2 linked regions of the Cricetulus griseus genome follow. The protein of the gene in region 2 purifies or fractionates together with the protein of the main gene of each other region. This does not show direct contact. Links are inferred from orthologs where the notes say so. Each region holds a gene or a part of one and is shown on either strand. Other genes may lie near its edges.

The links.
Region 1: the proteins of Bicd2 (region 2) and Dync1i1 purify together in Homo sapiens (affinity purification with western blotting; 4 studies listed by BioGRID and IntAct, with this or other methods). This does not show direct contact. The link is inferred for Cricetulus griseus from reciprocal best matches to the Homo sapiens genes BICD2 and DYNC1I1.

The regions. Positions count from the first base shown.
Region 1 is NW_023276806.1:219,166,974-219,171,333, forward strand, and holds the start of Dync1i1 (cytoplasmic dynein 1 intermediate chain 1), read right to left. Parts: upstream 2,836-4,360; coding exon 2,728-2,835; intron 1-2,727. UniProt on the Homo sapiens protein: Acts as one of several non-catalytic accessory components of the cytoplasmic dynein 1 complex that are thought to be involved in linking dynein to cargos and to adapter proteins that regulate dynein function.
Region 2 is NC_048596.1:269,172,686-269,176,498, forward strand, and holds part of Bicd2 (protein bicaudal D homolog 2), read left to right. Parts: intron 1-3,454; coding exon 3,455-3,667; intron 3,668-3,813. UniProt on the Homo sapiens protein: Acts as an adapter protein linking the dynein motor complex to various cargos and converts dynein from a non-processive to a highly processive motor in the presence of dynactin.

The sequences.
Region 1 (4,360 bases), on a different chromosome or scaffold from region 2:
GAAGGAGTGAATGGGCTGCACCCGTTTGCTATAGCACACAAATGCCCCGCTCTCATTCACCCACCACATCAACAGACAAGTGGTTTTTGCTTGTTTGTTTTAGAGATGGTTAAATGACACAATGGAAAGAGCTTCTCAAGGGATACCAGATTGTGCAGAGACATTTAAAGCCAGAGCAGAACTTAATACAATACAGCCAGTGCATCCCAAAGTTGAGCCGTGGTTTGAATCTTCTGAATGGAAGTGTAGGACTATGAGTTGCCCTGGTGACTTCGAGCGGCCCTGTCAGTTAGGAAATGGATGCCCTTCCCCTATAATGAGATTGATTGATGACTGCCTTAAATGTCATCATAGAGCTTTTATCTAGTAGCTGATGGAAGCAGAAGCAGAGATTCACAGCCAAGTACTGAGAACTCCTGGAATCCAGTTGCAGAGAGGAGTGATGAGCAAATGGGCCAAGACCATGCTGGGGAAACCCACAGAGACAGCTGACCTGAACAAGCAGGAGCTCATGGACCCAAAACAAGCACCCCGAATGTGGGTGTCAGTTAGGAGGCCTGGGCAGTCTATGGGGCCTCTGGCAGTGGAACCATTATTTATCCCTAGTGCACAAATGGGCTTTGGGACCCCATTCCCTATGGAGGAACACTCTCTCAGCTTAGATACACGGGGGAGGGCCTAGTCCTGCCCCAAATGATGTGAAAGACTTTGATGATCCCCCATGGGAGGTCTCACCCTCCCTGTGGAGTGGATGGAGGGTTTTTGGGGGGAAGGGGAGGATGGGAGGGAGAGGGAACTGAGATTGGCATGTAAAATAAGATAGTTTTAATTTAAATAAAATTAATTAAAAAAGAAATGGAGCCGGGCATTGGTGGCACACGCCTTTAATCCCACCACTCGGGAGGCAGAGGCAGGAGGATCTCTGTGAGTTCGAGGCTGCCTAGTCTCCAGAGCGAGTGCCAGGATAGGCTCCAAAGCTACACAGAGAAATCCTGTCTCAAAAAATCAAAAAAAAAAAAAAGAAAGAAATGGAGACAGTGAGTCCTTTTGTAATTTGAATTTCAGAGGCTTGTGGAGGCCTGAAACATGCAGAAAGAAGCCCCTGGAAGCTCTGTTTGCTATGCAGGGGGTGAGACCTTTACTCCTCAAAACTGCCTGGTATACCAGAAAAAAAAGAAAGAAAGAAAGAAAGAGAGCCAGAGAGAGAAAGGAAGGAAAAACAGCTTCAATTTGATTGGTTGGCCCATGATTCTCCCAAGGCAAAATAAAAAAGAGCGGACAGCCTAATTTGGAGCGAGATTTCCTATATCACATCACACTTCATAGTAATTCTGTGAAATTCAAGTTGGATATTAGAATGTCAGTGTAAAAGAAAACCCATTATTAGCAAGGAATAGCAGGCACTTTAAAGATACAGTAGCTGTTGACATTTGAAAGAAGGGAAACACAATCACACAATGCCTTTTCCTCCCCACGGAAATGAGTAGCCATTCCTTGTCAGTTCTCACCTCGGTTTCAGCTACAACCTGCATACAGAGTAGCAAAGATCTCCCAGGGAAATCATTGTGTAGGATATCAAGGACACACACACTATCACATCAGTCATCATGTGCAGCCCAAAGAGATGGGGGAAGCCATAAGGCTAAACTGCAACTGCAATTATTGGGAAATGATAAACATTGTAAATCTGTTATTTTACTCTTAAACTTGTAGAATGAAACAGTATTTATTTAGACTACGAGGCATCAAAGCACTTTCTTCTTCCTGCAAAAAACAGTCTCTGTGTGGGGAGCAGTCCCAGTTTCTCTCTGGGTGGGCATATCACCCTGTTCAAAGTTTCCTGTCTAGAAAACTATTCACAAGTATCTGCCATCTGGTTTCTGTGCATCAGTTGGGCAGTTTCTACACCGTCACAACAAATTGGAGAGTAAAAAATGCACCACTTCTCAGACTGAGATGGTAGAAGACATATGACAGGCTTTGAATTTGGGCTCAGGAGTCTTTGACTTGAGTTTACCAAGAGAAAAGCTGTCTTGCCCCTGGGTCCTTGCTATTTGGTGATATAAAGAAGAAAACTTTTAGTGACAGTAGAACGCCTCCTTCTGCTGAAACGCCTAACACTGTACTCTATCTTACTCACCCACCCTCCTAATGGTTCCTTCTTAACCAAGCTGAGGATTCTTATTGGCCATGGGAAATGCACACTGTGTAGGAATCACTGGAAATCCACTGACATTGGATCCACTTTGTCTTCTAGAATGTTCATACTGTTAGGTTTATACAAAATTAAATAAATAAGACTTTTGTTTTTTCTTTCTTTCTCAACACTAACACAGGTATGAACTATATCCTAAGTTTCAGGCAGTGGGAGGGGAGCCCATCCTAATCTTAGCAGTTCCATGAAGTAAAACCAATCGTTGTTCCCAAAATAGAAAACAGCCCATAAAGAATAAAGAATATCTAATGACAAAGAGATCATGGACCACCCTCAGGGTTCTTTCAAGTCCAGGGTAACCCGGCTTGTAGACTTTTGAGCCATTTATGAGCCATTGCTCACGTGACACCTGTCATCACTTATCAAGGAGAGATGACCTCTCCCTTCAGAGTGTGTGGATGCACGTTCACACACTTGATTCAGATTTCTCTCGAGGGTCCTATTTGTCCACCTAACTGATTCCTTGAATCCCAGTGACCCTTTGACCCCACAACACCCCAATCGAGCCTCACCTCTTTCCTTTTCCTCTCTTCCTCCTTCCGTTTCTTCTCCTCTCTTATCTGGGCCAAGCGCTGCTTTTTGCGCTCCAGCTCTGCTTTGAGGTCGCTCTTGTCAGACATTGTTGCTTCCTTGGAGAAAAGGAGGGAGAGAAAGTGACACTCTCTAAGTAATCTTTTTTTGCTGTCATTGCAAAATAATTTAAAAGGAAATGCAGCTTGCAAATGTGACTAGGGGTAATAATAGGCTGTATTATTTGGTCTGTGTTGAGGAAGAGAAAGAGCTTAGGTTTGGTCTCACTCTGTGATTCCTTTTCTATTATGTATCCGTAAATGCTGAAGAAATTTGATGTTGTCATCAGGGTTGAAAAAGAACAGCACTGCACTTCCAGGGGAGCAACACGCTTTCTGCACAAGTTTCTTCACAGATAAACAAAGGAGTCAGTGAAGATCAAAAAGGAATCAGCATGATGACTTCAGGTTTGGATGCTAACGGAGCAATATATCTCCAAACTGCACAAAGAAAATGGCCTGTCAGGAGCCCTAGAGTGTGCCCAGCTCAGGTGTCTGCGGACTGGATAAACATGGAGCTTAGCGAAACTTCATTTTGCCTGATAGGATATGCATCCTGAAATGCTAATTTTTTCTGTAAACTCCTCCCACTGTCACACTTAATTTCATCTCCTAAACAACACTATTTCTATGAACTTTCATTGCATACTGAATGCAATATTCTTTATTTTGGCACTGACCTCTTTCACATAAAGGGTGTTGATATATACACAAGAAATAGGAGTTACCCTTGTGTTGACCTCTTAGGAAAATTTATCCACATAGGGGTCAATTTTATTTATCTTTTTATAAAATACTCATTTCATGTGTATGATTGTTTTGCCTCCATGTACATATGTGTACCACATGCATTTTTGAATCTGCAGAGGCCAATCGAGGGTGTTAGATTTCTTGGAACTGGAGTTCCAGGTGGTTGTGAGCTGTGTGGGTGCTGAGACTTGAACCTGAGTCCTCTGCAATATCAGCAAGTGTGCTAACTGCTAAGCTATCTTTCCAGCTCTGAAGTTTGTTTAACTTTAGTGTTGCCATGACAATGTTCATGATAATAGGACCAGAAGCATTTTCAAATACAAGAGGCTTGGAGAAGACTGTTATCAGTTACCAATGATAATATTTTCTTTCATCTTTCTTCCCGGAAGCAAGTAAGTATGAAACCCATAGAATTGAAAGCTTTCTAGAACTTAAAGAGTAGAACTTAAAGCCAAGTTTTCATGTACTGTGATCTACTACATATACCCAAGCCCTGAAGTTTAAGGTCAAAGTACCGCACACCAAAACAAATCAACCAACAAATAAATAACAAAGGTCTAAGGGCAGAGACAAAGGCAAGCATAGTGGTGCCAGAAGAACTCAAACTGGATGTCTAGCAATATCAGGAACTCACAAATGAAAGGAAGATGTGGACATGCAAAGATGTGGAAAAAGAAGAAGCCTTTGGAGGGTGTACACACCCTCCAAAGAAGCCTGGAGGGTGTGTACAAGAGAAGTGAGGAATCCAGATAAAGAAATAGAAACTTCAGTGTGTGTGTGTGTGTGTGTGTGTGTGTGTGTGTGTGTGTGTGTGTGTGTGTGTGTG
Region 2 (3,813 bases):
TATCTATGTTGATGTATCAACTTTTTTTTTTTAATTGGGAGTAGTACTTCATTATATGAATATACTGTATTTAATTTTTTTAATTTATCCACCGCCCCCACCCCGTGTACACATGCCGCTGTGTCTGTCTGTCTGTGTGTGTTTATAGAAGTTAGAGGACAACTCTGTAGAACTGACTCTCCTTCCACCTTTATTTACCTGGGTCTGGGGATTGAACTTAGGTTAGTAGACTTGAATGGCAAATGCTTTTACCTGCAGAGCCTCTCTCAGCCCTTGTACTTTAAAATAATGAAAAGCTAGGATTACAGATGCACACACTACCACATCTTGTCTTTATGTAGCTTTGGGCAGTTCATACTCAGGTCCTTATTACATGGCCAGCATTGTACCTACCCACTTAGCCAAGGTCTCCCCAACCCACTTGTGGTGGTTCTTTCTCCCAAGATGGGCCCATCTCTATTGCCCAGGCTGTTCTACCTTCCTGCCTCAGCCACCTGAGTAGCTGGGATTACATGCATTCACTGTTGACTATCATGCTCAGATCTGAGGTTCTCTCTCTCTCTCTCTCTCTCTCTCTCTCTCTCTCTCTCTCTCTCTCTCTCTCTTTCTCTCGTCAGTTTTCTACTGCAAGCTGCTGGGCCTTCGACTGGCATTGTGAGGAATTGATAGACAGGCTCCTTGTAATTGACGCGCACCTCACTGTTGCTCTCATGGATTTGTTAGGCCCTGCTTTGATTGTTTTTGTTCCATTTGGGCATTCACTTTGGCTGTCTTCCAGAGTTGGTTTATCCCTCAGATGCATGGTGTGTCTGTTGTTGTCCCTGCCTTTCCTCTTCACAAGTTCTTTCTACTGGCATCCTTTATGTCTTGTGTTTGTTCTTTGCTTCTGAGTTGAGAATTTGGTTCTGGTACCTGGCCCTCAGCCTGCCTGCCCTTCTGGGCCGCTCAGAGCTGTGTGCTGTCTGCTAATCCTTTCTTCCTCAAGTCTTCACCGTAGAGCTCACCTGTTGGCAGCTGGATGTGTTTGTTTTCCTGAATGTGTTCTGAGCTTTGTTCTAGGATGTAGTGGCTTGGAAATGGATTAATCCTTTCATGGTCTGTCTTTACACTTGGCTCTGCTGTGCTAGAGCAGCGTGTAATCCAGGCTGATTCTGCCAGGCCCCAGACATGCTCTCCCCAAGCCTGTGAGTCTGGCTAGCGGGAACAGGCTTGTTTTCAGACTGTGGCAGGGATATTGTTCCTGCTCTGCCATATGGTCCTTTCCCCTGGCTTCCCCAGCCCTACACTGACCATCCTCAGTAAAGATTCACTCTGGGCCTGAGCTCTGGCTGCCCTTACGTCCCTGTCAATAGACACCTTCTTCCACAGGTCCTGCCATCAAGCTCCATCTGAAGGGGTGAAGGATGTTGCAGGATTCTCCTCATCCTGTCATTTTACTTGGCATTACAGACTTGAAAACTGATGCTTATTATTTTATCATATTTAACATTGTTTGTGTGTATGTGTGTGGACACATACCACATTCATGCCCTGCACATACCATAATACACATATGGAAGTCATAGGACAACTTGGGGAGTCAGTTCTCTCCTGCCACGTGAGTCTTGAGTTTTAGTACAAAGGTTGTCAGGCTTGACGTCACACGCTTTTACCTGCGGAGCCATCTCACCAGCCATGTTGCATCAGACTATTCCTGTGCTTTCCAGTTCTTTTCCTACACAGGAAGTGGAACCTGTCCTTGTGACTGTGTGTCTTCTCAGTTGGAGGTAGATGTCTCCATCAGTGTGTTTGAAAAGCTGTCCAGGGCTGCTCCTGTGCCCTAGGCTGGTAGCTTGGGTGGAGGAAGAGAGTTGGGGCCCAGGTTGGCAGGCCTGGGCTTGAAGATTGTATCACGCTGCTTAGCCATCACACTTTGGGGAAAAGTTCTGAGAAGTCCTTGCCCCAACTCCCAAGTTTATGGGTGTGTCCTAAGCAGCCACAGGTGCTGGACTCTTCAGTACAGTCCCAGAGCCCTGAGTTGGGGGCCAGTTTGGTGTCTGGTTCCCTTTGTGTGTCTTATGGTGGACAGGTAGCATGGGTCAAGTTCTGTGCAGGTAGCAATGTGTTACTTGATCCTTCCCTAGGATCAGGGTGAAAGCAAACAGACAGAAATCACAAATCTGAGCTGCTTTGATTTGTGTAGAATGGATGCTCTGTTAGAGGACTGAGAGCACATGGGCAAGGCCTGGCTACCTTGTGAGGGAATCCAGTCCCCTGCAGGAGTGTTACACTGTGATCCCCAAGTTGCCCTCTGATACATTCCCTGGGTCTACTGGGCTGTGCATCCTCTGGCCCCTTGGGAGGCCTTCTCACAGTGTCTGGGACACGGCCTATGCCTCAGTCTAGACCCTGCTCCATTCTGCCAGTTCCCTATCAGGATGAAAATTGCTTTCTGCATTTTCATGTGTTAGTGTTAGAAACTGCTTCAGCTCAGTAGCATCCCTGTACAATGTAGCTTTGTATGTTTTGCTTATTGTTTTCTTGGACTGAGTTCCCAGACCTATGAAGTCATAAATGAAAGAAAATAGTCCTGTTCTCTTTTAAATCTAGTGAAAACCATCATATTCTTGTTCTTTAGTAACTCTTCTCTTACTATTGTTTCTTACCATGAGCTATGACTCCTATAAAGAGTCAGGCAAGGAAGGCCAAGGAGATAGCTCAGCCTCTCAGTGGGGTATGTAATGGAGGCCAGGCTGGCCAGGGCCCAGTGTGTGACTGGCACGGTGTTGTGGGTGAGGCCAGTACTTGTTGCTCTCACTTTGTAGGTTTTCTTCCTGAGTCCTAGAGTCCCACACCTTGCTCCTCACCCCAGTGTCTGAAGCATGCAGATACATGCATCTCTGTGCCTATGTACCCTGAGATGGCTACTCTAGCTAGTTGTTACTGTGCCCTGTCCTTAGGGCTGGGGGCCCAGCCCTGGTTTGTCCCAGACCAAATGAAGGATGATTTGACATCAGGTAGCAGGATGGAGTGGCTCCTCACCCCTTGCATGTAATGGCTAGCACAATTTTGTAAGCCTGGAATGTATGTTGGGTGTGCTGCTCTAGGGTTGTTTCCCATTAGCTTGGCCAAGCTCACAGTATAGACCATTTGCTTCCTGGTCCTGGGAACTTTCCAACTGGCACACATCATCAGGCCTCAAACTTTGTCCCTTACAAAGGAAATTCCACCTATGTCTGTGACCCTATACTCTTAGTGTTCCTTCCTGTCACTCCACATGATGCTCCTAAGACTAGTTTGGTTTCACTCAATGTAATGAAACGTGAAGCGTGCCTGCTACACACATCTCAATGTGTGTTTTAACATGTGCACAGCATGGAACTGCTTCACAGGTCTATGTTCCTGTGGTCTTAGGCCTCCATTGCTTTGTGGCCCAGGGACACCCATCTCATGAAGGTCTTTTCTGTGCACACAGGCATTTGGACAAGCACACACAAACCACAAAAAGGTGGCTGCTGATGGTGAGAGCCGGGAGGAGAGCCTGATCCAGGAGTCAGCCTCCAAAGAGCAGTACTATGTGAGGAAGGTGCTGGAGCTGCAGACAGAGCTGAAGCAGCTTCGCAATGTCCTCACCAACACTCAGTCTGAGAACGAGCGCCTCACATCCGTGGCCCAAGAGCTAAAAGAGGTAAGTGCATGGACATGGCCTCTTGTCATTGTGCCAGTGGGCTGTTTGGCCGCTTCAGCTTCATTGAGGCTGCATCTTGCTCCTGTGGTTTCTCAGACCTGAACATACAAACAGTTCTGTGTCTGAACTGTGACCATCTCACTGGT